Regions from separate parts of the Mus musculus genome. Here regions 1, 2, 3 and 4 are each reported to be linked to region 5. Evidence: microRNA targets listed by miRTarBase, many of them from high-throughput screens and not tested one by one. Region 5 holds a microRNA gene; each other region holds the end of a gene's coding sequence. Distances are between the middles of the regions.

Region 1 (6,067 bases), not on the chromosome of region 5:
TTCATGAGCACGGCAGAGCGCATCCGGCTCCCCGATGACTGCACCATTGGCTACATTGTAGAGGCTCTGCTGGGTGTACCCCTCATCCGGAGCGGCCTCTTCCACTCCCACCTAGAGAACCTGCAGCAGGTGCCCACCACCGAGCTTCATGAGCAGGTGCGCATGTGGCCCCCAGGCCTGGGTGACCAAGCAGAGAACTCAACAGTTGAGGGACAGAAGGGAGAGGGTGCCTCCAAGGAAGGGACAATTTTTATCTATTTATTTATTGATTGATTGATTTTGGTTTTCTGAGACAGGGTTTCTCTGTGTAGCTCTGGTTGTCCAGAACTACCTTTGTAGACCAGGCTGGCCTCGAACTCAGGGATCAACCTGCCTCTGCCTCTGAGAGCTGGATTATAGGCATACTGATACAGGGCTTCACTATGTAGCCCAGGCTAGCCTTGATCCTCTTGCTGTAGCCCCCCATATGCTAGGAATCAGCTGTGTGTCACCACACCTGATTCAGAGTCGTTTAGGGGTGGGGTGTATGTATGTTTTCATTTATTTATTTTTTTATTTACTTAGAGATGGGTCTCTTATAGCCCAGGCTAGCCCTGAAGTTGATATGTAGTTGAGAATGACCTTGAATTCCTGATCCTCCTGACTCCACTTTCCTGGGCTAGGGTTGTAGGAGTGTACTACCACATCCAGTTTATGCAGTTAGTTGGGCTAGCCCAGGGTCACTGTTTTAAATAGGGATATCAGAGACTCCTCATTCTCAGGTGTCACAGCCTGCTGGTCCACATGAGGTACCCCAGTTTCACTCTCTAGCTCCTCCAAAACAGAAAGTCAAATAGATTCTTCTAAGTTGCTGATCATGCCCTTTGAGGGGACACTCTTGCTCTGTCTCCCTTATGGTCGTAGGCCCCACCATGGGCTTCATCCCCAGGTGGGCCGAGCCAGTGTCCTTGGCTCAAGGGACAGCAGCAGGAATAGCCAGGCAGGACTGCCACCTCTCCAGCATCATCCTGTTGCTCCCAATGCAGGTGACCCTGAGCTATGGCATGTTTGAGAACAAGCGGAACGCAGTGCACATCAAGGGACCATTCTCTGTGGAAGCTGACCCATCCAGGTAAGAACTCGTAGAGGGTCACCAAGTACCCCCGGGGTTGGGGGGGTGGCAGGAACCCCATGGTTGGGACTGCCAGAGGGCCCATGGCACCCCCAGCCCACGCAGACCAGTCTTTACTCTGTCCCAACAGGTTCCGCTCTGTCCATTGCCACCTGTACCCAGACACACCCTGGTGTCCTCGCTCCGCCATCTTCTAGCAGTCGTGGTTGAAACTCTGTCCCTGGGCGCCCCTGGTATCCAAAGGGCCCAGGGACCTTTATTGTATGCCCTGGCCTTGGTGTCCGAGGCTCTTCAGGGCTATGTGTATGTGTGTGTATGTCTATATTTGTGTGTTTGTGTGGCGTGCCCACCCGTGTTGCAGACTGCTGGGCAGTCGTGTTCTTCAGGGAGTGGCAGGTCTGTCCCTAACTACACTCTGAGCACCACTCCGAGGGCAGTTGTGTGGGATCTGTGTTTGGATCTCTGCAGTGGGGGTGGGTGAGGCCTTGGGGCTCCACTCAGGGGTCCGTGGGTGCTGATTGTAGCAGTCTCTTATGTTGGGGTGCTAGCACCTATCTGGAGCCTTCCCTGTCAGCTGAGCTGTGCCCAGTCCTAGGGAAGCTGATTTGGGTAGTAAAGGCCTGGACCCCTTGTGAGCTCTGGCCCGGGCGCTGCCTGGTGCCATTCTGGTGAACAATGCTCCCCCACCCCCTGCCCTCCAGGGTGGAGGCGAAGTCTTCAGCCCCACCCTCTGATGCCCTATCTTTGTCTCCCACACCAAGTGGGGTTCAGAGCTATGAATTTTATCTCCTCTCCAAAGTAGAGAGAAAGTCGCCCATAGTGGGTGTGCCTGTACATATTGTGACAGTATTTTTTTACTGTGCTCTTTCTTGAAAGGGGAGGGGTGGGTGTGAAAGGAGGTGGGGGGTGGTTGTTTTCTGGGGTGGGCTGGAGAGGGTCTTATTTTATCTTTTCTGTGGATCAGAAAAAAGTGGAAGCCAGACAGGCTTGGTCTTTGGAAAGCTGGACAATGAGTGCCTTAGTACTGTATTTATGCCTTCCAGTATCTGGAATCCTGCTCCCCCCCAACCCTCCCCAGCACCCCAAGACTTACCTCACCCCCACCACCCCCAACTCCTCACTCCCCTACCCCTGGGCTGTATTCTGTGTTCTTTTTGCAAAGACCTTAACTAGGCAAGCTAATGATGATAAGGGAAAAGCTCTCAGGGAATTGATGTGTTGTTGCTATGGTGACGTCCTTCCTCTGAATAAAGGTGCTCTTTGCAGCAACCCAAGGGGCCCTAGTCTTGCTTGGGAGTTGGGGCTAAGCCACCTGTCCATCAAGGTAACTCGAGGGGACTTTCAGATGAGGGCAGGGGAGACCCAGTCATGACATAGAGAAGAAGGCAATTGGTAAGAATTCAGCAAGTTAGCCGGGCATGGTGGCGCACGCCTTTAATCCCAGCACTCGGGAGGCAGAGGCAGGGGGATTTCTGAGTTCGAGGCCAGCCTGGTCTACAGAGTGAGTTCCAGGACAGCCAGGACTATATAGAGAAACCCTGTCTCGAAAAACCAAAAAAAAAAAAAAAAAAAAAAAAAAAAAAAAAAAAAAAAAAAAAAAGAAGAAGAATTCAACAAGTTTACGACTTGGGAGGGAAACTAGTGTTAAAATAGATGAAGTATGGCCAGCTTGGTGTAGATGTGCCTCTGATGGGTTGATACCATGTTGGGAGGTGGGAATTGGACAGGGCTGATGGCGGTAGCTGCTTGATCAGGTCATGCCCTGTGTCAACCTCACTGTGTCCAGACCTTTCTGGAGGAGGTGCAGTGGCTAGTGGGGGCTGGCCAGAGACCCATTTTCCAGACAGGAAAACTGAGGCTCAAAGCAGGCTAAATGAGGATGACCAAAGTCAGGCAGCCAGGCTGCTGAGGTGGATGACCCCCACCCCCCCTAGATCTTCGTTCCCTGTCAACTCTGCTGACACTGCCTGGCCTCTCATCTGTCATGAGATACACCTGTCATGTATCCTCTGAGGATGGGCAGTACCCAGGCTGCTCACTCGTGGGTAGAGCTGGCGAGGACTCGGATCTTTCTGAGGCTCTTCAGGGACCTTCCTCAAATCCAGCCACAGAGGCTGGCTGATCGGGGGATCCTCACCACACTCCTTCCCTGTGGTCTCCTTGTTTCCGCTCCTTTACAGAGAAGCAGGCTAGTGCTGCCCACCTGCTGCCCTTCTGTAGGTGGCTGCCTGCTCTGACCTGACCCCGGACTCACGGGGCTAGGTCCTCATTACCTGCCACCCCTGTGTCCTTTGCCTTCTTCCCCACACCATTTGATTAGAGATCTGTCCTGCACTCCACCAGACATTGCTCACAGCTGTGGGTTCAGCACCCCCAAGTGGGCTGGGCATGGCCCTTGCTGGTAACTGCTCTTGCCTTGTGGGGTGACTGGCCAGAGCCTGACCCCACCTTGGCTTTGTAGTTTGGCTTTTTAAGGCCTGAGGCAGCTGCCTGGGATTTTCAGAGTAGGGGATCCCCAGTGGTGGCCGTGGTCCTTGGCATACAGGGCCTGGTGGCGGTGGCTTGGGGCCCTACTTCTAGATGAGGAAGCTGACATTTGTAAGGGTGGAAAGGTCACGGTGGAGCAGTCTGCACACGGGCCATGAGCCTCCTTCCTGCCTGGATGAGTCAGAGGCCTGCTACCCTCTGCTCTGGTCGTCAAAAGCCCCTTGCAGCTGGCACAGAGCTGGCAGCCACAGAGGTGTGGTACAGCGGCACCAACCTCGCCGCCGGCATGGAGCTGGGGGCCCCAGCCAGGGTGAGCTTCCCATTCTGATTGGAGCCAGAGGGTGGTCCTGAGCCTGGAGGGCAGAACCTCAGCACGGAGCAGGAGGGGAACCCAGTGAGGTGGCATAGGTCTCTAACCTAGTATTATTCATGAGGCTGTTGAGGTAGGAGGATTGTGAGGGTCGTGAGATCAGAGCCAGCATGGGTTACCAAGTGAGGTCAAAAAAATCATCTAAGAAACAGAAGCCAAGTAGGGAGGGCCCAGGAAGGGTCTAGCCAGTGGCTTCAACAACTCCCAGGTAGAGCAGGCGGAAGAGTTTCTCCTGAGGAGGGAAGCAAGCTGACTGACTGACTGACTGACTGACTGACTGACTGACTGATTGATTAATTGATTTTTTTTCAAGACAGAATTTCTCTGTGTAGGCCTGCCTGGCTGTCCTGGTTGATCTGGAACTCAGATTCACCTGCCTCTGCCTCCCAAGTGCCGGGATTAAAGGCGTGCGCCACCAATGACTGGCTGCCTGGCCGCCTCAGTGAGGGTCTTAGCGAGGAGCCCTCCTCTCTGGTCAGTTACTCAGTCAGGTATCCTGTCCTGGGGCTTCCAAAAGTTTATAAAACGCCAGGTACACTGATGCCTCGTGCCTGTAAATCTCAGGGATGGGGAGGCAGAGGCAGGAGGATCGCCAAGAGTTCAAGGCCAGCCTAGGCTACCTACTGAATGATGCTCCTCCCCTCCCAGCTCTCAATAAAAGTAACACTGCACACCACGCAAGCTCTAGGGTGTCAGGGAGGGTGCAGAAGCAGGAAGGCACCCAGCTTCCTCTCTCGAGATGAGCTGGGTCTGGGAGAGGGTGGCAGGGTAGGGTTGAAGCTTTCAACTTCCCTCTCTGAACTTCCCTCCCCTCTGGGGTCAGCAGGGCTGACTTCCTGGAAGAGGTGCCTCACTGCTGGAGCCGGAAGGCCAAAACCACAGCGTGTGAGCAGAAGTCAGCATGTGTTTGTGGGTGTTCAAGCTTGGCACAGCCCAGACAAATGCACCCCAGGGTGGGGTTTGGAGGGACCTGGTGAGGAGAAGGCTGGGAAGGGCAGTGAGCAAAGCCATTTCGTCTCTCCCTGAGGCTGGACCTCTGATGGTAGAAGTCAGAGCCCGCTGGGTGGCTTCAGCCTCTGTTCTGGGCCTCATGAGGTCTCAAGAGGAAGCAGAAGGCCCTGGGCAGACAGCAATTTGTCAGACCCATTGGCCTAGCCTGTGGCACATTCTCCTAGGGCCACCTGACCCCAGCCTTGACCTCTCCCCCACCAAAACAACAAAAAAAATTTATCTTTTCCTATTCATGCTCGGCATTTAATGTTTTTAAATTTTTTTTTTTAAGTTGGGGCTGGAGAGATGGTTCCATGATTGTTGCTCTTGCACAGCAAGGACCCAGGTTCGATTCCCAGCACCCACAGGGCTGCCCATAACTGTCTCCAATCCTAGGGGATGTAACACCATCCTCTGGCCTCTACAGACACCAAGCGTGAATGGTGTACATACAGACAAACGCCTATGCATGTAACTTATAAAAAAAGGTTAAAAATATTGGGGGTTGGCATTTGTAAACATTTTTTAAAAAGATATATAAGTACACTGTACCTGACTTCAGACACACCAGAAGAGGGCGTCAGATCTCATTACAGGTGGTTGTGAGCCACCATGTGGTTGCTGGGAGTTAAACTCAGGACCTCTGGAAGAGCAGTCAGTGCTCTTAACCTCTGAGCCATCTCTCCAACCTTGAGAAATGGTTTTTGTGTGTCATGTGCAAGTTAGGTCACTAGACTTAACAATACGTACCTTAGCCATCTGCGTCATCTCAGTGGTCTTTTGGCAATTTTTTTTTATTGGTGTATTTCCACTGTACACAGTAATTTCATTAAGATAGCTCCATTTGTCACATGCTTTGACCTATTCATCCCCTCTACCTCTGTCCCCTCTAGGATAGTCGTCTTTCTGAGATAGCCCACGTGTACTTTCATATCACACACATACACACACACACACACACACACACACACACACATCCATGAGAACCGACAATATGGCTCAGTCAGTAGAGTGCTTACTAAGCATGAACCAAGTCCTGGGTTCAAATGAGTATCACATGAACATCTTTGGATACATAGAATCCAAGGCCAGCCTGGACTCCATCGTGA
Region 2 (6,067 bases), 7.9 Mb from region 5:
AGACTTGGGAGAGACTATGTCAGTCAAGGTGTGAGGGCTGGGGACCCAGTAACTCAATGCGTAGGAGCCATTGTTACCTCCTCACCAAATAGGTGATAATCTTGGAAGCACCACCCAGCCTCCAGGTCCATCATTGCTTCAGCTCCCCCTAAGACTTAAAGGGGTGGGAAGCTGCTCCCTTGGTCCTGATCTGAAATCATTAAAAGGGCAATGCTAAGCATCATGGCATGACTCCAGATCACTCCAGATCACTCTTGCAATTTGATCTGGGAAGAGACAGAATCAAAGCACTCAGGAAGCAGAGGCAGCTGGACCTCTATGAGTTTGAGGCCAGCCTGGTCTGCATAGTGAGTTTCAGGGCAGTTAGTGAGACCCTGTCTCACACACACACACACACACACACACACACACACACACAGAGAGAGAGAGAGAGAGAGAGAGAGAGAGAGAGAGAGAGGAGAGAATGCCATTCACATGGCCCTGACAACTGCTTGAGACATAGCTAACACAGCCTGTTACTAAAGCTATGGCTTAAGCTGGATGCTGGATGGTGGTAGCAGTGGCTCAGGCCTTTAATTCCAGCACCTGGGAGGCATAGACAGGCAGGTGGATCTCTGGGAGTTCGAGGCTATCCTGGTCTACAGAGTGAGTTCCAGGACAGCCAAAGCTACACAGAGAAACCCTGTGGAGGTGTGTGGTTTCTGGGAGCAACAAGAGCAGAATCTCCAAGTGTGGGATGGAGCCAGAAGCTACTGAGCTCTAAAATCAGGGCTGTGAACTTGCAAATAAAATCGGAATAAATGGTAGTGATTTCCCAGTTTCACAGTGAAAGACAGGGCGCCTACCTGGCCTGACAGAGTCAGGAAGGGAGGCCAATAGGAAATGAAAGAGGGGCTGAAAGTCAGAGGCCGCTGGCTGGAAGCCAAGCCCAGGCAGACCATGAACTTCCTCAGCACCCGTCTCACCAACTCCATGGGTGCCACCCAAGGGTGCCTTGGCGGCAGCAACAGAATCTCAACTTAGCAACCAAAGGTTCGTGCCAGCAACACCACCTCACTTTACAAATGGGGAAACCGAGGCCAGAAGAGTCAGCCCCTTTCCCAGGTTGTGGTGTCAGTAGCTGTTTGCTTTTGCTATTTTTCTCACTGGCCCGGATTCCAACTGGGGCAATGGGAAAGAAGCTACCCCAAGGGCAGAACTCGTCCATCATCAGGCGTGCCCCTCCGCTGGAAGATTTAGAGAGGATATAGCCTAGGGGAAGATGAAAGCAGTTGAGGTAGCTGGGAGTACCAGGCGGGGACAAATTAGCATAGTCTGGTCTGACATGTGTTGCTATATAAGAGGCTACAAAGTGTTCCAAGTTCCTGAGAACCGGCTCCGAGGAAATGAAAGGGGAACAGGAGGGATTAAGGTTAGATTTAAGACAGCACTTTCTCCCAGGGATGGCCCTTTATTCAGTGACCAAGGCTGGCTGTGAACTCATCCCCTGTCCCTCCCACTCCTGAGGCCTTTGGGAATCCGTTTTCTCTTCCCACACAGCCTGCTTGGAGGGCGGGAAGCAAATGAGGTGGCTGACTTTAAAAAGTCCTCACTTCAGGTAGGCACTCCTCTTCCTAGATGGGCCTCCTGGGCTCTCTGCTGAAAGTGAGGACTGCAGCTTTCAGGCTCTGGGGCCCTGGGGGGAGAACAGCAGTCATGGCATCTCTTGCAACACGCTCCCTGCCAAATTGATTCAAATTGGCTTGGATATGAACATATGATTAAAGGAGCGGCGCGATTCATTTATCAGGAGAGATTAAAGAGCGGCATCTGCGCAGCCTAGCTGGGGGACAATTAAGGAGCAAATCGCTAAGTGTCTGTGCCACCAGGCACGGGGGGGGGGGGGGGATGGGGGAAGGACAACTGGGATAATCTGCCAAGAGGACTTGAGGACAAAGGGAGCAGTTTGGGGGGTCACTGCCTGCTGCTGATGTGTCTGGGCACTGCGGGGACTTCCCTAGGGCTTTGGTCCCTTGCCTCTAATTCTGGAGTCAGGGTATTCCTGCAGGCTGGAAATTAGCAGGGAGGATTGACAGCGGACTCAGGGTGGCTGTGAGGCGGGCCTGGGGCACAGGGCCAGTGGCTTTGTTTTGTGGGATCACAACCATCTTAGGGGAAGAGGTACTGTGGGTACTTAGGAGCTTGCAGAGTTCTCCAGGAGTAACCTCAAGTGAAGACAGGCTTTGGTGGTTTCTGGGCCTCTGGAGTGGGAAACAAGGGAAGGAAGTGCTGCCCTCCTAACCTGGGTTAGGATGTTTGTGGGAACTGGGAGAAGCATTGGGGGTGGGGGAGAGGCGGACTGTGAACTCGGGCTTTCCCAGGCAGTGTGTGGCATGAGCATTGTTTATCCCTCTGTGTCAAGACCATCCTGTAAGTTCTTTCTTCCCCATGCATGTCCTAGCAATAACTACCCGAGCAATCATTCTCCTTGAAGGCCTAAGCCCTGAATACCGTTTTGATGACCCTTCGCAGTCTCCCTCTCCACAAAGGCATTCATTCTCTTCCCATAGCGTAGCTCATAGCTCGGAAGCACCTTCTCTGCCCTTCTGCGGTGGCCCCTGATCCCATCCCTGGAGGACAGGCACTGAGATCTCTCCGCTCAGGTCGGAAGATGATACTTACCAGCAGGTGAGGCATATGCTCTAAGTCCGATTCCACCCTGGGATGTCCCCGATCTGAAAGGACTTCATTCTCAGCACCAGGACCGGGCCCAGGTTAATGAGGCGACTCAAATGCTGAGCAGACTGAGTAACACAAGTCCCCTGACTTGAGAAAATATTCTCACCCCAGACCTGGTGTGTTAGTTTGCACCTGCAATCTGGGGCTTAGGGAGGCCGAGGCAGGAGAACTGTGAATTAGAGGTCAGCCTGGACTACACAGTGAGGCTCTCACTTTCATCGCCTTTTCTCTTTGTTGGAGGGCAGGCGCCTTTGTCCCAGAAGGATCCAAGCTCTCCCCAGCTTGTTTTGGTGGTGACTTTTCCCTCTTTTGACTTTCCAGACAGACATCACCAGAGCTCTTCCCACCCACCTCCTCAGACCATTGAACGCCTGTGGAAAACAGATCTAGACATGGATAATGTTCAGAGAAGGAGGAGGAGGAGGAGGAGGAGGAGGGTAGGGAAGGCCTTTGGTTTCTTCCTCATCTGCATGAGCTGCCCTATAACTTTTGCAAGGCCACGAAAGTCTGGCGAGTATAGCTCAGGCCTGCAGGCAGAGACTGAGCAGCCATCTAAGGCAGTGATCCTAGGCTTCTCGAGTTTTCTGTGGCTAAAGAGGGCTGAGGAACAGAGAACATGCTGCCAAATTTTGACCAAAAAGTCACCTCTGGAGTGACTAAAGTTTTGAGAAGGGGTTGGGGACAAGCTGCCAGCCCCACTCACCTCAACACAAATGTGGGAGGCTCTGTCCTCCTTAAACAGCCTCTTTACCCACTATGGCAAGTGACCTGGTGAGGCTCTGGGAGTGAGTGACATTGGCCACACAGACCAAGGTGGTTCTTCCATGTCCCCATCAGAATTCCACCTCTGCCCCTGCCCGGGACCACCCTGGACTTCCCCTGAGCCTGCAAGGAGAGGCAGGGAAACTTGTGGCCAGGAGGGAAGGGGCCTTTTATTTCCTTACATCAATCAGGTCCACAGGGAGAGCACAGCCCAATGAGTACAAAGCAATGGCAGAAGGGAAGGGGGATGGCAAACAGGTCCAGCACCAGGTACTGCCTTGGGGCCCCCAGATCCAGTGGAAAAGTCAGATGAGCTTTATGGTAAGAAACCGAGAAGTAACAAGTAACAGACCACTTGTTGCTGTGTCTGGGGTAAGTGTGTGGGGACAGGGTTATGGGCAGAAGAAAGATGACAAAGGGTTAGGACTCCAGTCTGATAAACAGACCAAAACATCTACCTTCCACTGTGCCCACCACAGGTCCTCAGCGCCGAATGAGCGGCCCCGGCTATAATACGGTCAGAGGCAGGCAGAGCTGGAAGCCGCGGGTGGGTGCAGGTGGAAGAGATCAGCTCTTAAATAACTGCTCATTGCACTTAATACTCTAACGAGGCTGGCTCGGTCCAAGCCAGAAGCACCCAGCTGCCATCCTCCCCACCCTGCCTCCAAAGAACCAGGGCCCCGGCTCTGCTAACCGCTGTCCCCTGGCAGCAGGCTGCAGGAGAAAAGGGCCTCTGGAGAAGTGAAGATGGAGGGGAGATTCCCAAGGCATCCCACAGGCCCCAGCTGCAGCGGCAGCCCCTCCCACTCTCAGGGATGCAGCTGCATGGAGGTTTGGGTATTTAAATTAAACAGTAAAAAGACAGCAGGCACTGAGAAGAGAAAGCCCTCACCCCAGCAGAGGGGAGGCATCACTGCTCCCTCCTGACTCTTTCCCATGGGGCCCAGCGACTTCGAGCGGCCCAGCAGGTAACCTATCCACCATCCCTGAGCAGGAGGCTGAGATGGAGGTCCACCACCGGCTCCATGGAATGCCAGGCCACCTGACGTGGTCCATAGTGGCCCAGAGCGGGAGCTAAGAGCATGGCGTTCAGAGGCAAGAGCGGAAGCTCTCTTTGGAGAGACTCTGCTTCGCCCACCTCTGCCGCGTGGAGCTGTCAGACGCCCACAGCCTGGAAAGTCCCCCTGACAGAAAGCCAAGGTGTTTTCCATGCAGATCGGCAGTCAGGTGGGGGCAGTGGTGCCCCTCTATCCTGGGAGAGGCTGTGGGGTGGGAGAGTCGTGAGCCATCCCAGGCTATGCACTGGTCTCTGTCAGCTTGGCCTCTGTGTCGCTGTCACTCAGATAGCTGTGGGAGAACCGGGGTCTGGAGATGCTGTCCACAGGATCATGCTCATCATCCGATGGGTCAGGGGCGAGTGGCTTCCAGTGGCTGGTTGGGCTGCAGGGAGAGAGGGACAGGGTCAGGGCCAAAGAACACTTCTACGCTGGGCCACGGAGCTCTGCTCAAGCACTCTAAGACCCAAACGCTCCAGGGTCCAAAGGAGCACAGAGTCTGCAGTTGGTAAGCTTTTCAGACTAACATGATGGGAAGGCTGGTGGCAGCAAGGGCCAGGCTTCCATAAGCCTAAGAAGTGCATTCCTGTCTCCTTCCCCTGAGAAGCTTAGACTGAGTCCTGAGGGAGGAACCCTGGGACTCGGAGTTTTCAGCTCTCTTGCTCCCGTGTAAGCAGTCCAAGAGCACACGGATGAAGGTTTAAGGCAGGTGACTACTTGACTACAACCTGTCCAAGGAGGAAACTCTCAGGTAGATTACTCCTGGCAGGACCCCAGGTCTGATCTATTTCCCCTAATCAGGGTTTCCCTGGGCCTGGAAGACTTCAGTCCTTGACCATGGCATCCTCTACTGGAAAAGGAACGGAGGCTCGGGACAGAGGCTGGCAGGACCTGTTTGAGGATGGGCCAATGGGAGGGGTCCTTAACAACTCCTTGGAGTCTTCAATCGGGCCCCTGGCTCTGGAAGGCTGTCCCTCCAAAGATATGAAGAAGTATGATCCCCTGGAGGGAGAAGGACTGTAACATCCAACAGAGCAGACAGGACTACATTCTCTGGCTCCATCCACTCTCATTCTTTCCCAGAGCCTCCTCCTGTCCCCACTGTCCCTAAGCCCATGCAGTACAGTCTAATGTCCCTGGAGAAGACACAGCCCAACACAGCATTACCTCTACTGGTGCCCTGGACCCAGCTTTGTTTGTACCCGGGGGTGCCTGTGTTCCAAGAGACAAGGGATACAGGTCCTGGTGACCTTCTACTTGGACAAGGTAAGTGTCAACAATTGCTAGGTCTACTATATTCTGAACTAGAAACCTGAGGGTGCCCCTTTACTGGTCCTTTTAAAGTAAGATGAGGAGCTGGAGAGATGGCTCAGTGGTTAAGAACATTGACTGCTCTTTCGAAGGTCCTGAGTTCAAATCCCAGCAACCACATGGTGGCTCACAACCATCAATACAGCTACATAAAATAAATAAATAAATCTTTAAAGTAAGATGAGGGAGCAGACAGTAGTTTAGGTTTCCCTGGAGGTGGC
Region 3 (6,067 bases), not on the chromosome of region 5:
GCCCTTTGCCCCATGGTGTGTGTCTTTGTTGAAATCCACTTACCATAGGTGGAAAGACCTGGTTGTTCCTGAAGTCCACATCCCTGTATATTCTCCCTGATGTTCTTACAGGTAGGCAGGCTACTGTATTCCTCCTTCTGAAGATAAAACCACCTCAATCTGTCCCTTGGGCCTGGGGACTGGGGACCAGGCAGTTTTCTGGCCCATTACCTGAACACTATGGTCTCACCCCAACACTGTACCTCTTTCTTAGTACCTACAGAGCACCTCAGCCCCTGGAATGTTTTCATGTCAAAGTAGAGAAGATAGAGACACGAAAGGAGGGGTGCTAAAATGTTACGTGTCTTCTCAAGGGTTCCTCACTTGGCAGAGGAATAGAGATAAATGACTCACACTTTGACTTTGGCCCATCTGAGCTCAAAGTTGCAGGAATTCAGATACAGCCAAGATGAAAGTAGCTTGGGATATCAAACCTATGGGATTTACTAGGTGGAACCAACCAGAGTAGGGCCCAATACAGAGGCTGAACTTCCTTAGTGCCTCGATCCACTCTCCATTGTAGTAATTGACAATTTATAAAGAATACAGTTTATTCCGCTATGGTCCTGGAGGCTGAGAGGTTCAAGGTAAGGGGTTGTACATGGTGAGGACCCTAGATAATGGGGATTCTGCAGAATCCCAAGACAGTGCAGGGCATCAAGATAGTGGTGACCCAGTAAATATGCTAGCTCAGGCTTCTCCTCTCCTTCTAAAGGCTTTATAAAATTGCTGTCACAGGGGGCCTAACCTCTTGACTACCTCTAATATTAATTATTCTTAAAGCTCCCTCCCATGTCTGAATTCCACCAACATTTGAATTTGAGATGAGGTTTCTAACACTGAGTTTCTGGAACAGTGCTATGAGCTTACCCTAACAGCCATAGTACTTAGCACATACCAACCAACCTGTGCTCCCATTCCACCCTACCTGCGCCAAACCCTTATGTTCCATTTAAGCCTGTGCTCTCTCCCCATGCAGGTGTGGTGGGCTCGGGCTGGTGCTGGCCAGTGCAGGTTTTGGCATGCTGACAGCGCCCATTATTGAGCTGCACAACCAAAAAGGCTACTTCCTGCACCATATCATCTTCGCCTGCTGCACGCTCATCTGCATCATTTGCATCCTCCTGCTTCCTGAGAGCAGGAACCAGAACCTGCCTGAGAATATCGCCAACGGGGAACACTACACACGGCAACCGCTGCTGCCACACAAGAAGGGAGAGCAGCCCTTGCTGCTCACCAACGCGGAGCTCAAGGACTACTCGGGCCTGCATGACGTGGCTGCAGTGGGTGACGGGCTGCCAGAGGGGGCCACTGCCAATGGCATGAAGACTATGTAGCTCGCTGGACCACGCCACCATTCCACCAGTCCCCCCGGGGCTTGAAGGGCTGGGGAGAGTTTGCACACAGGTTTACAGACCAGGGAGGAAGTCCATCTCTGCTGCTGACTCCACTCAATTGTGAGACTTTCAACCGGTGTGGGGAATTCTGTCTTTCCAGACATCCGAGGAACACATCTGAGAAACCAGATGCTCTGGAAATAACCCTCTGAAGACTTTCTTTTCTGCCATTCAATGTTTGTATTTATTTTGGTCATTTTTACGAGAAGCACTTTATCCCCTTCCCCCCTCCACTGATCATGAAGCAGAACCTCCTTCAGGAGTGAGGGTCACTCTGAGGAAGTCCCTGTAAGTGACCAATGCAGTGGCCAGTCCCCTCCCTGGAGGCCAGACTCAATTTCCTTCTCCACTCAAGGAGACAGAGGTCATCTGTAGGCCAGGACCCCTACCTCCAGGCTCCCTGCCATGGACAGCTGTGCCTCTCAAGCAGAGAGTCCTTGGGACTACATTTTACACAGAGGAAAATGTACATGAATTGTTGTTTTTCTTTTTTTCTTTTCCTAGAGTCTGTATATTTTAAAGTTGGGTACTTTACTTTCTGTTTGTTAGGTAGTTTCCATGCTGTGTTGGGAAAACAGCCTCCAGATGTCATACGAGCCAGCTTAATCTTTCTTTCCTTCAGGATCATCCTTTTGTACTTGATCTGGAAGTTTTTGTGGGGAAACTTCCATACTTCACCAGAAATCCTACATGATGAGAAAGCGCCAGTTCCCGCCGCCGCCCGGTTTGCTTAGTTAAGTCCACAGCAGCTGTTGTGTTGAGGTGGGAGCCATGTTTGTTTCTGCTAAGACACTTTCCTTGACTGAGCTCCAGCAGCAAAGGTCCCTCTTCCCCAGCCAGCCCTGTTGCCAGTACTACTTGAAAATGTGGCCACTTCCAGAACTCCAAACAAAAGGAAAATAACAGAAAAAGGCAAATCCCAGGAGGGAGTCTCGATGTCCCACACATGGCCGCCACTCACGTCTCCAGCACATACCATAGAGAGCTCCAGCTTGGATGGCTGCCACTCTGACATCACAACAGTGCCCACAGCACCTGGAGGCGGTCCACCTCATGTCTTCCTCAATGGCTTCCTGCCTGTCACTCACTCAGCACAAAAGGGCCCTGGGCAGGAGTGCAGGTTGCTCACAGGTCAGTCCACGTGGCCTCTAGTCCCTTGAAAGCAGCAAGAAGTGAGAGAAAGCAATAACTCACCAAAGCTCAACTCCCATCCTGTACCAGCCTCCCAGGATGTCCTTTATCTGTGTCCCTCATCTTGCCCCAGACAGCAGGGCACCAGGGCTGCTAAGAAACCAGCCTCTGGACCTCTTGCAGCAGCTCAGGCACCAGCTTCTCTGGGCATCGTGGCTTCTTATCAACCATCTGCCTTGCCTCTTGCCATGCGTCTCTCCCACGTGCTCTTCCAGGGAAATCATGGCCTTGGGCCTATGTAGGCAACAAAGTGACTTCTAAATGACAGTTGCTAGAATTCAAAGGCCAGAAAAAGGGTTGAGTTGAGCCCCTTCCAGCTCCTTGTCTGATCTGTTTCTTACAGTCTTACCCACTTCTCTTCCACATCTGATAGAGACATCAGTGGAATCCAGCCGCCTTGATCAAGCCCTCTTGAGAGTACTGATTCCATATGCAACCCTGTTTCTGGCAGCTGGCCTATGTTCTCTTTGATGCCTGGGGTCCTGAGTGCTTTGCTTGAGGACCAACATGTCTAGGAGGGCGGCCATGTGGCCAGTCCTTGATACCTGTTTTAAGTCCAGCTTCCCTTCACTCTCCCTGGTCTCTCAGTCATCCCTCTTCCATGCCTTGAGGTTAGTACACATTCTCTTTCCAAAGCCTCTGTGATCTGTGCAGCCTTTGCGTGCCAAACTTGTAAGATACCATTCACCTTTCCCAGGTACCTGCTACCAAGTCACCTGGCAGCAACCTTCTGTTAAGGACAGAATGGGACATTTGCAGTCATGAGCAGGCTTACACTGGTTGTGTTGGCCTGCAGAAATCACTAGGTTAGTGGTGTCAAGGTATAGCACTTCGAAACTTCTTTTCAAGGTCTCCAATCTCCACCTCAAATGACAGTGGTAAGAACACTAGGCCAATGCAGACAGTGTTAATGGCTGCAGCGACCAGAGGCAACCCATCAGGGATTAGCAAAGAAGCTGCCACTGAGGCAGGGGCCAGAGGACCATCAACCAGAAGGCAGACTGCTGGCAGTGTCTTATGCCAGCCTCAGGGAAAGACTAAGCAGCTCAGTTTCTGCTTCAGTGCATGGACACCTGAAGTTGCTAGAACACCTTCATGAAAGATAGCCAAAACAGGAAAGCTTGCTTGTGAGCCAGCTTGCTGTGTGGTCTGACCAAGTGAGAAAGACAGCAGGCACCCAGGCCTCAGACACTCTGACCTAGCTCCAGAAAGATGGCCACAGCCCAGCTCCCTGGTACCAAGCTGTCATCCCTAAACTTGGCCCTTTGTCCCTTGTGGGCAGATGCTCCTCAAGCACTGGCCTTTGTGTGGGGCCCCTCCCTCCCTGGAGAACGTTAAAAGGTCTTACTCTCCACCCATCCCTACACCTGTTTTCATAAGTTATGCACAAATGTCAACAGCTGAGACGGGGTGGGACAAGTTCTTCATTTTGCTCTTTATTAAGTCAAATATTATGGAAATATCTACTTATTAGCACCCAAGACAAATAGGGGAAAGGTTTAGATGTTTTTGTGTTTTTAAGACTATAACCACCTGCAACTGGAGGACAGGGCTGATAACGGGTTTGGCCACAAAATGGAAAGCAAGCAAAATCAGACCTCGTAAGGGGAGTATCACACACAGTCACGACTACTTCCCAGAGCCAAACGAGAAGTCCCTGAACTAGAAGTGCCATTCAAAGAATCTCGTGACCATCACACACCCAGCCCCTGGGTGGCACATGGGTTGAGGGAGGCCCACACTTCAACTCCTCCCTGTTCTGAATGACACCACCTCACTCTAATGTATTGTGTGTGTTTTAGAGAAACAATATGGTGTGTTGTGTCTAGTGAGGAACGCCTCCCTACCTCTGTCCTTTCTGCAACCCAACCATGCGTGCTTTTCCTCTAAGAGCCGCGTGACTGTACGTGTTGAAGGGGGCGGTACCTGTTCACAGCACAAGTTTATGTTGAGCTCTGAACTGTCATTCACAGCTGCGTGTCTGCATGGTGTCGCATCTGTTGTACCTTTGGGGAAAATTTGTATGTAAATGTACAGAAATAAAAATGTTGCCCCATTAACAGATTTCCTCTGGAATGTCTTCCCTACCTCACCTGATGGTATCCACAAAGGGCATTTCACTACCACTGAGGACGAGTAAGAAAATCCTCCACGTTGATCAGACCTCCCCACGTCACTACTTTCAAGGCTTCTTCTGTGAGCGGCCTTCATTCGCCCTGCAGATGGTGGGGCCTCTCACTCTGCTTTAAGAGTCCTAGTCTTAAAAGGTAGTCAGAGGCTGAGATCGGATTAAACTTAAATGCTTATGTAGTGTAATTCTCAAAACCATCTGAGAATCCTGCACATTTAAGATGAATTTTTTTCCCTCCTTTGTGTTCTGCTAATCCGTGGCCTGAGGATTCCTAGAGAGGACAAGGAATGACTATCTACACTGTGATTCTGGGAGGAAAGACTGATAACACAAAACTCTCTTCTCTAATGTAGTATTTTTTAACAAGAAAATAATATTTCTTTAATAAAGCATTTATACCAAACTCTTCTCTCCATAGCTGATTTTGTGTCACTTACTACTCTGTCCTAGGGAGCTTCCCACTGGGCTTTCCACACTGCAGAAACACTGGCCAAGGCTACCGAGGCTGGCGTCAAAATATGCAGGAGGCGGGCCTTCAAACCACAGACACCATTACTACCAAGTGCCCTTCTTCCTGCCCCTGCCTGACTCGGTGCAAACCCACTGACACTGTGCAAAATAATGATAGGCCCTGAACTGTCAACTCAGGAGGGTCCAGGGGGACCCCAAAGATTAGAGCTCTTTGGCAATGGTGGTCACCTTTTGTCAAAACGTAGATCTCAACACATGAACCTCAAGTGGAAAAAACACAATTAGAGCCCAAGTAGTAGCCAGGAATTAAACATGGCCGAAGGGCAGGTAGTAGGAAGAAAGGGGAGAAGGAGAGCCAAGGTAAGTGCAAAGGGGCCTGAGACATTGGTACCTGTAAAAAACAAAGTTAAAACCAAACCTGGCATCTGTCACAGCCTGTCACTTTGCCGAGTCTTTCTACACACTTAACCCAGCAAGTTAGGGATCATTGCCATTTCACAGATGGAAAGAATGGGTTCAAAAATCTAGACTCCACTGAGCCCCAAATCTACAAAGCTACACTAAGGTTCAGGTCTGGCTTAAAATAGCACAAGTGAGGTAACCATGAAAGGCTTAGAGAGAACACATGGGAAGCCCCCAAGTACTAACCTTTCAGTTCACAAGTTAGAAGCCTCAGGCCCTGCACTCAATCCTAACCAAACCACAGCTGTTGACTCTCACCAGGAATGAACGGACGGAGTGATGACTGATGTATTAAAACTCTGTCTGATACACTTCCTCCCCTTTCCTCTAGCACTAGCAATCAGGAGGTGTGTATCGTCTGTTCCCTTTTCTTGCT
Region 4 (6,067 bases), not on the chromosome of region 5:
TTCGTCAGTCCAATCTAGTTATTGACTACCATTGTAATGCTGATCTATCCTGAGTGCCAAGAAACATTTGACCAACATTTTGATTTTTGGTTGGATCCTCCTTCCTTGTTTTTGTCTCAGTCTCTTGCCATACCTTGTTTGTGTTACTGTAGTGGAGGTGATTTTAAATTATTGGCCTTTGTATCTAAATAGTTAATGGCTCTGATACCATTTGTAATGTCTGTGTTCTTGAAATAGTTTCTGGTAGGAAGCACATTTTCCTCTGCAAGAGGCTTACTGAGAAATATAAGTTTGCATGTAGGGAGTCTTAGCTTCAGATGTTAAGAACCTGTCAGATAGTCTCCACCCTTCCCTCTGGAGGACACTGCCACTAGGACAAGTCAACTTTGAGCATTTGAAGAAGACAGAAGGGGATGGCTGTTTTGTTGCAGTTAGTCTGATCAGTTTCCCCTTCCCCTCTCCAAGGTGTGGCTAGTCATTACAGGTGTGGGGAAGACTGCCTAAGGCAGTGGCAGGGAAGCCAGGGCTGTGTGCTACTGTGTGGCCTCCTCAGGAGAGCCTTGCCTCAGAGTGGTTTCTTCTACTTTGTATTTCCCCTCAGCTGTTCCTTGCATTTTCCCGTGTTAGGACAAGAGTGCCCAGGAGTCATGATGGGGGTGGAGGATGTCTGATTTGATATACTTGCTTTCTTAAGTTTCCTAAGTCAGAACCCAGGCACTTGTGTGAGTTGAACACATTTCCAAGAGCTATAGGACACTTTTGAGGCATGGTTGCCATGGTGTCCTTCTTCATTGGAGCAGATAATGCACTTGTGTGTTGACACCTCTGAAAATGATCGTCACTTGTTAAATCTTCATAAAAGTGCTGACTTAAGGACGGCTTTAAAGTCTTCATGATAGACTGTGTGAATGACTTCCCATCCTGCTGTGCAGACAGGCCTCAAGAGTCTGTCAGGGCTCCAGTCAGAGATTCTGCTCTCAAAGCTAAAATAATTCTGACTGGTCAGTCTAATTCTTTAAGTACTTGAAATGTGCCCCATCTCCACTGAGATGTGCTGTTAAATATTAAATATGGATCAGACTTAAAGACAACATAAAATAGTAAAATATTTTAGTAATTTTTATATTGAGTACATGCTACAGTTGGTATTTTTAACTTGAATTGGCCTAGATAAAATAAATATTAAAATTTATTTTTATTTTATTATGGCCACCAGAAAACTGAAAAGTGTTACGGGGTACCTATTTCTGCTGGTCAGTGCCAAAAAATAGCTTTTCTTGGTGAAAGAGTGCTTCCCTTTTGAAGATTAGGAGGTGGTGCTCAGGGAGCTGTTTTGCTTTCGTTGCAGGCACTTTAAAGAGGAGGAGACCGCCACAGCCCATTCAGCAGCCCCCGCGTCAGAGGCCCCGAGAGAGTTATCAAATGGGACACATGCGACGCTAATGCAGCTTTTGCCTTGGTTCTTCCTAGTGCCTACAGTGGGAAAACTTCACTCCAAAGAGAAACCTGTTAAGTCATCATCTGCAAATGATACCCTTACAGTTAATAGTTGAAGAAAAATGGCAAGAGATCATGTCCTCAGATCAGGTGGAATTACTCAAAATTTAAAGCCTGAAAATTCCAATTTTGGGGGTGGGGGTGGGATGGAAAAGGAACCCAATTTTCTTATGAACAGATATTTTTAACCTAATGGCACAAAGTCTTAGAATATTATTATGTGCCCCATGTTCCCTGTTCTTCGTTGCTGCATTTTCTTCACTTGCAGACAGACTTGGCTCTCGATAAACTTTTATCACAAATTGAAATATATTTTTTTCAACTGCCAATCAAGGCTGGGAGGCTCGACCACCTCAACATTGGATACATCACTTGCCAATGTACATACCTTGTTATATGCAGACATGTATTTCTTACGTACACTGTACTTCTCTGTGCAATTGTAAACAGAAATTGCAATATGGATGTTTCTTTGTATTATAAATTTTTCCGCTCTTAATGAAAAATTACTGTTTAATTGACATACTCAGGATAACAGAGAATGGTGGTGTGCAGTGGTCCAGGATTCTGTAATGCTTTATGCAGGCAGTTTTGAAATGAGAATCATTTTCCCTTTTCTTATGGTGGAGTTGGTTCTTACATACATTTTTTTCCTTGTTACATGGCTGCTGTGAGCAGGAGAGGCTGTGCTGAAGAACGCAGCTGATGGCTTGCAAACTGGACAGCAACAGCATTTGGCTTCAGAGTCAGCTCTTTTTGTAGATGTCTGATTTCTGCTTAGTATTTTATACTTTCTAAATCAATTCCATTTTTAAATTGCTAGGTGAATTTTTTCATGCCTTGGAATTATGTTGGAAATGATTAATTTTCATCTGTAGCCTGCTTATTACTTTGTGTATTCCATATACTTCAAGCCTGCTAATTCTGTTTTTATCCAATATGAAAAAGAAAATCAGTGTCTTCATTGAAATACTTGGACAGTTAGTTCTTCAGCACTGTCACTGATCACTGGTAACCACTAGAGATGGGTGATTTGCTCAGCAGGTAGTTGAAATTGTAGATAGGTTTTTCGACGTTGTTTTCCCCCCAACATTTTAGCAACAATGAAGGTAGACAGCACAGTGTCCCATTACAAACTTCTTTTTTAAGCAGATAAAATATTGGCTTTTTTAAAGAAAGAGAAAGCAAAAGCATTTAATGTATTAACAGGCTTATCGCTATGCAGAAAATGGAGGGGGCATTAAAAAATGTAAGCTTGTGACATATTCATTGCTTCTGTTTTCCAGCTACATCACTTAAATTAGAAGTCAGCAGCAGTGATCTTCCTGGCTTTACATAGGAGGCAATCTAGAGAAGGTTGACAAGATTACTGTGTTTGGCTTTTTTTTTTTTTTCCTTTTTTCTTAAGAGTCTAAGGTTTACACAATCACTCACAATGTGACGCGAGCCAGCAAGGCCAAAACCGCTAGAGAAACAATGGGATCTCTCCTTGTAAACTTGTACAGTACGCGGGACTTTTTTCAAAACAGCTTTTTGTACATGATTTAGAGACAAATTTTGTACATGAAACCCCAGATAGACTATAAATAATTCTAACCCAACAAGTAGGTAGCTGTGTATGACACTGCTTTAAATCATTCAAATGCCTTTGTTTTTGGACTGTGCAAAGGTTGGAAGTGGATTTGCATTTCTAAAATGGTGACTTTTATTCTGCAAGAGTTCTTAGTAACTTCTTGAGTGTGGTAGACTTTGGAACATGTACATTTTTTGCTTGTAATGTTATCCTGTGGTAGGGTTTTGCCCTATTTTATTTTGAGTCTAAGTTAAATGTTTTCTGAAGAGATACATGCACTGAACTGTTTCCACTACAAATCAAGATGTGGTTAAAAAATGAAAGGACCAGGACCAGTGAGATCTAATACTACTGTCAGTTTAATGTCCACTGTGTTTTATACAGTATCTTTTTTTTGTTGTTCACTTTGGAAATTTTTACTAAAACCTGCAAAAAATAAAGTATTGTGCAAAGATGTAAGGTTTTTTGAAACTTGAAATGCATTAATAAATAGACTTGATGAAATCAACTTGAGGTCTATGCTCTTTGGACTCAGAAACATCAGAAGTAGCCACCATGCTGAATGAAGGACTATTCAGCAGAAAGGTCTCTCCATGCAAGTGAGGGCATCACTGCTACAGTCCAGAGCCATGGTGCACAGTTGATTGCCATTATCACATGTACACTGTATGTTGAAAGTTACTCAACACAACGGCTTCTCACTGTTTCTAAGCAGTGTCCAGGACTTGTCCTAGTGAAGAGCTGAAGCTAACTGGAAACTTGTAGTCTTCTTTCTGTGTTCTCAAAGTTCTGTCTGGGTGCTAAGTGCTTTTATTAATGTCTGATTTATCTGGATGTGGTAGTGCCTATCCATAATTTCAGTACTGTAGAGGCTAACGTAGGAGGATCTGGAGAGAAAAGGTAAACCTAGGCTATATGCAAGATTCCTTCCCTAAACAATCCTGGTAAAGAAATTACCTAGCATGCACGTGGACCTTGTCTTCAATTCATAACTCCCCTGTCAGTTCCCCCACACAAAAGAAGACTTGGTCTAATGAAAATGTATTTGAAATTCTGAACTAACATTTTCCCGTCTTACCAGATTTATTATATATTGTAAGCAGAGAATTGACATTGTAATATTACCTACAAAAGAAATTATTTTGTATACAGGATAGTGCCCTTTATGGAATAATATGCCCCAAATTCCTATTTTAAAATTAAGACTAGCTATAAATATTGGTATATATTAAGTAAGTAAATATGTAATACTTTGTTTTTTCTTTTGTTTTTGTTTCTGTTTTTGTTTTTTAAGTGGACGTCTCACGCTGTAGCTGGCCTTGAACTCACTGCCTTTGCCTTGCAACTGCTGGAATCAGGGGCACTTATATTTGTGCCTACTTTTTCATACTTTTACAGTAGCGTTACTTAATAATTAGGGGGTTGTTTTGTTTTGTTTCCCCATGAAACTGGTAATTTTTACCAAGTCAGATAATTGCAAATTTGTTGCTGCTTAAATTTTGTTTGGAATTTATTTTTGGTATAGTTTTCTAAATTTCAACACCAGTTTACAAACAAATATATCATTACAGTTTCGGGATTTAGTGATTTCCATAGCACCAGGCAATATGTAGGCTGGGGAAGGGTTTATCTAAGGGAAAGACAGCTTTATAAGATTAGTCTTGGCTTTTCAGTATCTTTAATACTTTGTTGTCTAGGTACTTCAAACTTGTTGCATTCATAGTTGAATGTAAAACTGAAGATTTGCCCAAACTGAGCAGTTTTCTATTTCTAAGTCAGGTCTTGGGCTGCTATTGTTTTTTAAGGCCCAACTGTTGCTCTCAACATGGTGTCTTTGGTAGATGTGAGGTGCATACTTGTCCTTGAAAAGGCCTTTAAGTTCTCCTGGAGTATTTTTAGTCAAATGTCTCAGAGCATCTCGGAACAAAAGGTTTGGGCTTTCCCAGAGCCAGGGAGCAGGGAGGATGCCAGTTTGAAGCAGATGGTAAGGATAAATCGTCTTTAGAGAAGTCACCAATGCTGTAAGAGATTATAGGAGGAAACTTTTTTCTGTCTCAGAAACAAAAGATCATCACTTTGCCCAGAGTATAGCTTTTTTTTTTTTTTTTTTTTTTTAAGCATTTTAGATTCTCAATTAAGAACTCTCAAGCCAGGTACAGTGCATATGCCAGTAGTCCTAACTACTTAGGAGGCTGAGGTAGCCTTGCTTGTTCCCTAAGATAGAAGCCAGGCTGGGCAACAGAGCAGACACGTTTCCAAACAGGAGAGCCACATCAGCAGCAACAAAAGTAAAGACTTCCAGTTGATTTTTTTTTCCTCATTTATTACTAGTGTAGCATTTTTATTGTTTCTGGAGCCAACTCTTTAGTGAGACACAGATTAAACCTTTGTATTCTGTATTCCCATATGCTTTGTGTTTTCAGACATATACCTATGTGCTATTTTCATTAGAAACTTGTGTATTTATAACTGACAAGCATTTCAGAATGTGTTTTCTTTTAAAACGCAACTGGATACTAGATAAATACAAGAGGGTTGAATGCAGTGTTTATTACCTTCTCTGTCTGGAAATCCCCGTGAAAATGGCAGGGCTAATCCAACACAGAGTAGGTGAAGTGAAGAGCGTGGTAACAAGAATACATTTTTGGCCACTTGGAACAGATGGAAGTGTCTGCATGGTTTGGCAGCTCCAGGGTCACCACATTCTAAGCCTGAAGTGAAATGGGCAACTGGGCATGGGATAATGGATGCCCTGGTCTCCACTGTCAAGATTTCAGGGCACAATATATGAGTAAATGCATGTGACTCACAATATAATTTGTAACCTACCTTTCTCATTTAGCAAAAATAGTGATGGTGTATTAACCTTTCTGATGGCAGTAATGATCTCACCCTATGGAGGTATTGCATGCCTTTTTACATTAATCACTTCCCCATTGTTTGCATATGTAAGTTCCAGATATTTCATTGTTTTAAACAATCCTTTGTGGAAATCCT
Region 5 (6,067 bases):
CTGCCTCAAAAGGGGGGGGGGGGATTATCTAAGCCCTTTGATGTTCCTGCTCCTGTCTCCTTAGGAAAGACTCCAGGGTTTCATGCTAGAGAAGCAGCCTACCTGGGAGCCCCATGGCCAGCCTCCCTGTGCCCTGTCCAAACCCACTCCACTCCCCATGCTCAGAGTAGAGATGCTCCAAGCCCCAGGCCAGGTCTGCCCTGCTGCCCATTCTTGTTGAGGACAAGTTCAGTGCAGCCAGCTACAATCCCAGATGCCTCCTTTCCCTCCAGTATGCTCGCTTGGCAGAGATTGTGGGCATGCATGACCTTGGTGTTAGCGTTACCCTGGGAGCTCATCAGAGCATCGGTTTCAAAGGCATCTTGCTCTATGGCACAAAGGCCCAGAGAGAAAAATACCTTCCCAGAGTGGCATCTGGTAAGGCAACCTTAAGAGACCCAGGGGTAAGGAGTGTGACACTGCTCACGGTGTTACAAGGAACTGCCTGGGGATGAGGGGGTGCAACTCTGGTGGTCAGGATCCCCAGTGAGCCCGTTCTCTCCCCCACAGGGCAGGCTTTGGCTGCTTTCTGCCTAACAGAGCCCTCGAGTGGATCCGATGTAGCCTCCATCCGAAGCTCAGCCATACCCAGCCCCTGTGGAAAATATTACACTCTCAATGGGAGCAAGATCTGGATCAGGCAATCTTCCGTTTCTCTTCTACCCTTCAGCCCAGTGGCCTGACCCTGCTGCTCTAAACCCTATACTAACCACCTCACTCTTCCACAGTAATGGGGGCCTGGCTGACATTTTCACTGTCTTTGCCAAGACGCCAATTAAAGATGCAGCCACGGGGGCCGTGAAAGAGAAGATCACAGCTTTTGTAGTGGAAAGGAGCTTCGGAGGGGTTACCCAGTGAGTATGGGGCAAAACAGAATCAAGGATGGGGACAGCACTGGGCTCTCAAGAGCAAATAGTCAATACAGGCCACGCTGGGGCTATCTCTGTACAAGAGGCACCCACAGGAGGTGAGCAGTTTTGTTTCCACTGGGGGAACACAGGCTAACAGGCCATAGCTAGATATCCGTAGCCCCTGGGGCACATAGGCAGTGCCCTGTATCCTTTTTATAGTCTGGGGAGTTCTCCCCTGATCATGAGACCCGAAAAGGCCGTTTTCCCCCACAGCAACCTGTTCATACCTCAACTTTCCTGCCCTGCCTTTTCAGTGGGCTCCCTGAAAAGAAGATGGGCATCAAAGCATCTAACACGTCAGAGGTGTACTTTGATGGAGTGAAGGTGCCATCAGAGAATGTGCTAGGAGAGGTGGGAGATGGCTTCAAGGTTGCTGTCAACATCCTCAACAACGGAAGATTCGGGATGGCTGCAACCCTCGCAGGCACCATGAAATCCCTCATTGCCAAGGCGGTGAGTCCCAGCCCAGTCCCTAGCTAGCACATGTCCCTGACTGCCTCAGAGCGCCGACACACACACATGCACACTCGACCATCGGCACAGTTAGGCCTCCAGCCCGTCCAGGTGGAAACTGAAGAACCACAGTGGGGTAACATGCGCCCTCTTGCAGGTTGATCATGCTACTAATCGTACCCAGTTTGGGGACAAAATTCACAACTTTGGGGTGATCCAGGAAAAGCTGGCTCGGATGGCTATTCTGCAGTATGTGACTGAGGTAAGGGCCTCCTGGGCCCCTTCCCTGGAGCCCTATGGCTTTCTTCACAGTTGGGTCAGACTACAACCCCCAGCAGCACCTGGGGCAGTGGGTCTCCAGCTTTACACCAATGCCCTAGGGGATGCGAGGAGGCATAGTCAGTTCTCTTCTGGAGGGTGGTGCTGCTCTGCTAAATGCTGCCCAGATGCACCAAACACGACTTTTAACCCACCCCTTTACAAAGTCGGAAGCCTCGAAGCCCCTGATATACCAGAGGGTCACATATTGGACATATTTGACCTGACCAGGAGGCTAAAGTGAATTCAAGGGTTGGAGGAGTAGATCAGCACTGGTCTTGAAGGTCTGAGCATTAGCCATTCTGTCTGATGCAGCCCTTCCCTGTTGTCTTCCCCATGTCCCGACCATGCTCCCTTAGTCCATGGCTTACATGCTGAGTGCCAACATGGACCAGGGATTCAAAGACTTCCAGATAGAAGCCGCCATCAGCAAAATCTTTTGCTCGGTGAGGACCCAGGTGTGATGGGAGGGCGGAGTCCAGATTAGGACCTCAGCTCAAAAATCCAACTCATCTGGTTCTCTGTCCTCAGGAGGCGGCCTGGAAAGTGGCAGATGAGTGCATCCAAATAATGGGGGGCATGGGCTTCATGAAGGTACAGAGTATTCCTCGGCAGGGGGGGGCATCTGTTCAGAGTGGACAGGCACATCTCAACAGAGGTTTCTGTGTCTTCCTGCGTGCCAGGAACCAGGGGTGGAGCGTGTGCTCCGAGATATTCGAATCTTCCGGATCTTTGAAGGGGCAAATGACATTCTTCGACTGTTTGTGGCTCTGCAAGGCTGTATGGTAAGAGGAAGGAGGATGAGAGAGAGCAGCTGGGGAGGACACTGAGTCCTCACTGTCGCCGTCCCCCTTCTCTCCACAGGACAAAGGAAAGGAACTCACTGGGCTGGGCAATGCCCTGAAGAATCCTTTTGGAAACGTTGGCCTCCTGATGGGAGAAGCAGGCAAACAGCTGAGACGGTACCTCATGGGCCGGGGCCAGGGTCAGAGTCAGGGTCAAACAAGATGGGAGGCCGCAACTGACCAGTCACTCTTCCATCTCCTCTCAGGAGGACAGGAATCGGCAGTGGTTTGAGTCTGTCAGGGATTGTCCACCCAGAGTTAAGTCGCAGTGGTGAACTGGTGAGTGAGCCTTAAAGCAGAGCCTGCGGTGGCTGTGCGCTGCCTTCCTCTCCTGAGCTCTGTCTGTGACTCTTGTCTCTTCAGGCAGTGCAGGCTCTGGATCAATTTGCCACCGTGGTGGAGGCCAAGCTGGTGAAACACAAGAAAGGGATTGTCAGTGAGTGAGCTCTGCAACCCCCTTCCCTCCCTGATTCCCTCCCTCCGACTAACAGCCCCACCCTCATCTACCTGACAGACGAGCAGTTCCTGCTGCAGCGACTGGCGGACGGCGCCATTGACCTCTATGCCATGGTGGTGGTTCTGTCCAGGTAAGGCGGCAGCGAGGGACGCTTGGCAGGCTAGAGCCACAGAGGAGCTGGGCCAACACCAGCACTCAGGATCATTTTAACCTCTGTTTCCTCACAGAGCCTCAAGGTCCCTGAGTGAGGGCTACCCGACGGCACAGCATGAGAAAATGCTCTGTGATAGCTGGTGCATTGAGGTGAGCCTTGGAGCTCCCCAGTACAGGTGGGCCTTGGAGCTCCCCAGTACAGGACGGCCTGACCGTCCCTCCCCTTCCCTCTCCCCAGGCTGCAACTCGGATCCGAGAAAACATGGCCAGTCTGCAGTCCAGCCCTCAGCATCAGGAGCTCTTCCGGAACTTCAGAAGCATCTCCAAGGCCATGGTGGAGAATGGTGGCCTGGTCACCGGTAACCCCCTGGGAATCTGAGACTCCCAATCAGGCCCTGGCAAGGTCATGTGCCTTCTCTGATGCCAAAACCCTTTATGGGGGTGATGGAGTACTTATTGCCTTAACAATAAATTTTCTACCAAGTCACTGTCTGCCGTGAATGTCACTGCTCCCTCCTCTCCACTGCCTGCCTCGCAAAGAAAGGAGCCAGAGGCTTGGGGAGTTGGCCTCTATTTGCTTTATTTGGTGTTTTGTACAAGTGACTAAAATAAATAGAGTAACAAAGGCAGCTACACAGTCCCCAACACACCACCAGCCTCCTTGGACTGCTGTCTGGGGTACCCAGCCCACACCTTCTTCTTCCCAGGGTACCACTGACCACCACCCACCCTCAACATGAGAGCTGACTAGGCACCTGGAGGTGGCGGTCATATTCTGGGGTTAGAAGGGATTCTCCATATAAAAGAGGAACTGTCTATTTAAAAAAATACTCCCCCAAATATAAGAAAGTCTATTTTAACCCCCCAAAAAGCTTATAAAAAATAAAGCTAAAAATAACCAAAGGTCCCCATCTACCCCCGAGGAAGAGGGGGAAGGACCAGGCACTGCTGGTGAGAGTCACAGTGGCAAAAACGTTTTGGTAGGCACCAGCCGCCAGGCTGAGCCCAGGCACTATGAAGGGCACCAGGCTGAAACTTGCCAGGCCAAGGGCACAGACCCAATGTGGCCTCAAGATGGGTCCCTACATAACATCCACAAAAAACTCACTGGGGTTGCCCATGGCCATGTGGAAGCTCTGACGGCTAGCTGTCAGTTCTGGGGGCACGGAGCCCAGGTCTCTGACTGGAGGGGCACCAGGGGGCTGCACTGCTGTGGAGACAGGGGGTGGGGGTGGAGGCATCATAACTACCATCATGGGGTTATAGGGGAGAGCCATGCCAGATGGGGCTCCATAGGGATGGAGCCCGGGAAGAGCTCGGAGATTAGGAGGAGCGCCTGTCGAGCCCCTGGATGGAGGAGGGCCGCCATCACCAGTCCCACCAGGCTCCCCACCCCGCCGAAGGCTGCCTCCCCGGCTGGAGAGTTCTGACTCACTGCCACTGCCGGACTTGGACTCAGGGGCCCGTTCCTCAGGCCTGCCTGTGCGCCCAGCCCCCCCATCGCTTCTTGTCGACCCGCTGCTCCGGCTCCCTGTTGGAGGGCAGAGGTGACGAGGAAAATGAAGCTCAGCCCAGAGTCCTCAGGATCCCAGTCCCTGCTCTTGCCTCTCCTCCCCGAATCCGCTCTACTTGTGCCCACTTTCTCTGGCTGTACTGGTACGTGGGAGTGGGTCACTTACCCTCACTGTGCTGGCTGCTGGCACTGCCTCCACCATAGGTGTACGAAGAAAGCTCGTGGTAGGGTGGAGGCTGGGGGCTGTAGGGGTGTGGCGCTGGATACTGGTAGGAGAAGGTGGGCAGCAGGGGCCAGGGAGTAGCTCCAGGCAGAGGTGCCAGGGTATCCTGGTCTGAAGCCCCACTGGAACCGTCATTGTCATTCAGAGAGAGGTTAACTAGGTCTGGAAAAAAATGGAAGAGAGGTCCCTGCTTTAGGAGGCCAGGATTCCTGAGAACAGAGAAACCTGAGCCATTTCCCCAGAGCTCCCCACGAGACAAAAGCCAGAGACCATGATGGCTTACAACAGGAAACTCTGCTGCTCTGGCAGAGAAACAGCCAGGACTCTCACCAATAGCCCCAAAATGCTTTTGTGAGCCCCGTGCAGCACTCTTTCCCTTGGGGATGCAGCTCAGGTACCTCGCTTACTCAGCAGTACTACTCAGCAGTACCGGGGCACACATCAGCCTGAGCTCCTACAGCCAGACCTGCTGACTTACAACTCTCACAGCCACCACTGAGGTCCCCGAAGACATAATAGCACTGCTCAGAGAAAGTAATCTTGTTGACGGTGTGCCGGATGAGTCCCGCCTTCAACAGCCCACTGGCATACTTGCGGGCCTCCCGGCGCTCAGGAAAACCTTCCACGTGATGGTACAGCCAGTCCACCACATCGGAGCCTGGGATCCAGCACAGCAAACAGGTCAGACTCTCCTCCCAGCTCCTCCCCTCCCCTCCACCTTGTGTTGTGCCCAGCTTTGGCCTCCTCCCCACCTTCCCATGCCACCTTGCTCAGGGCCTGGGAATACCTAGAAAGGCGTTTGGGATGGTGATCTTGAGCCACATGCGGTCCCGGACTTCGAGCCCAGACTCTGGGGCTGCCATGGCCTTGGTGACAGAGGCCATGTCCATGTGGACAGAGAGACCCCGGCCTTCGCAGCCTGATAGGAGAGACCACGGAGAACTTACGAAAGGTCCCTCACACACCCAGGGAGGCGGGAAAGGAGAGAGACTCACCATCAGGCAGAGAGGAGCCAGATGTGATAGTGCTCATAGATGAGGAGCCAGGGTAAGCAGGGAAGGCGCCAGTCAGCGCAGCCGAGTGCGACACCCAGGCGGCTGGGTCGATGGGCTGGATGGGCTCATCTAGGACAAGAGTAACGTGAAACACCAAGAT

The links. Region 5 holds the annotated microRNA mmu-miR-324-3p (CCACUGCCCCAGGUGCUGCU, at 1,737-1,756, opposite strand). A microRNA usually pairs through its seed, bases 2 to 8, with sites in the 3' UTR of a target mRNA and lowers its output. Matches are read on the target gene's strand: a 7mer-m8 pairs with bases 2 to 8, a 7mer-A1 pairs with bases 2 to 7 and ends in A, and an 8mer does both.
Region 1: the mRNA of Lfng is a reported target of mmu-miR-324-3p. The part of its 3' UTR that is shown has no 7-base or 8-base seed match.
Region 2: miRTarBase lists Myo18a as a target of mmu-miR-324-3p. Seed matches in the 3' UTR shown: 7mer-A1 at 4,391-4,397.
Region 3: miRTarBase lists Slc22a23 as a target of mmu-miR-324-3p. Seed matches in the 3' UTR shown: 7mer-m8 at 3,634-3,640.
Region 4: the mRNA of Adam10 is a reported target of mmu-miR-324-3p. Seed matches in the 3' UTR shown: 7mer-A1 at 2,811-2,817.

Annotation. Positions count from the first base shown.
Region 1 is chr5:140,613,166-140,619,232 of GRCm38, forward strand. It overlaps Lfng (LFNG O-fucosylpeptide 3-beta-N-acetylglucosaminyltransferase), which reads left to right. Exons shown (of 8, transcript NM_008494.3): 6 at 1-156; 7 at 1,026-1,111; 8 at 1,242-2,380. The coding sequence ends at 1,308. Among named protein-coding and RNA genes, the nearest start is that of Lfng, 8.9 kb to the left of the region's middle.
Region 2 is chr11:77,863,544-77,869,610 of GRCm38, reverse strand. Myo18a (myosin XVIIIA) reads right to left here. Exons shown (of 41, transcript NM_001291213.1): 41 at 3,623-4,920. The coding sequence ends at 4,776. Among named protein-coding and RNA genes, the nearest start is that of Gm29932, 18 kb to the left of the region's middle.
Region 3 is chr13:34,178,263-34,184,329 of GRCm38, reverse strand. Slc22a23 (solute carrier family 22, member 23) reads left to right here. Exons shown (of 10, transcript NM_001382849.1): 10 at 1,019-5,161. The coding sequence ends at 1,376. Among named protein-coding and RNA genes, the nearest start is that of Gm52037, 17 kb to the left of the region's middle.
Region 4 is chr9:70,776,652-70,782,718 of GRCm38, forward strand. Adam10 (a disintegrin and metallopeptidase domain 10) reads left to right here. Exons shown (of 16, transcript NM_007399.4): 16 at 1,349-3,578. The coding sequence ends at 1,443. Among named protein-coding and RNA genes, the nearest start is that of Adam10, 100 kb to the left of the region's middle.
Region 5 is chr11:70,007,784-70,013,850 of GRCm38, reverse strand. It overlaps Mir324 (microRNA 324), which reads right to left and starts at 1,808; the gene lies at 1,720-1,808. Dvl2 (dishevelled segment polarity protein 2) reads right to left here. Exons shown (of 15, transcript NM_007888.4): 11 at 5,908-6,036; 12 at 5,700-5,831; 13 at 5,391-5,570; 14 at 4,856-5,074; 15 at 3,742-4,707. The coding sequence ends at 4,259. Acadvl (acyl-Coenzyme A dehydrogenase, very long chain) reads left to right here. Exons shown (of 20, transcript NM_017366.3): 7 at 273-417; 8 at 550-679; 9 at 768-893; 10 at 1,205-1,403; 11 at 1,561-1,665; 12 at 2,081-2,167; 13 at 2,253-2,315; 14 at 2,405-2,506; 15 at 2,586-2,683; 16 at 2,773-2,845; 17 at 2,930-3,002; 18 at 3,081-3,153; 19 at 3,251-3,326; 20 at 3,415-3,668. The coding sequence ends at 3,555.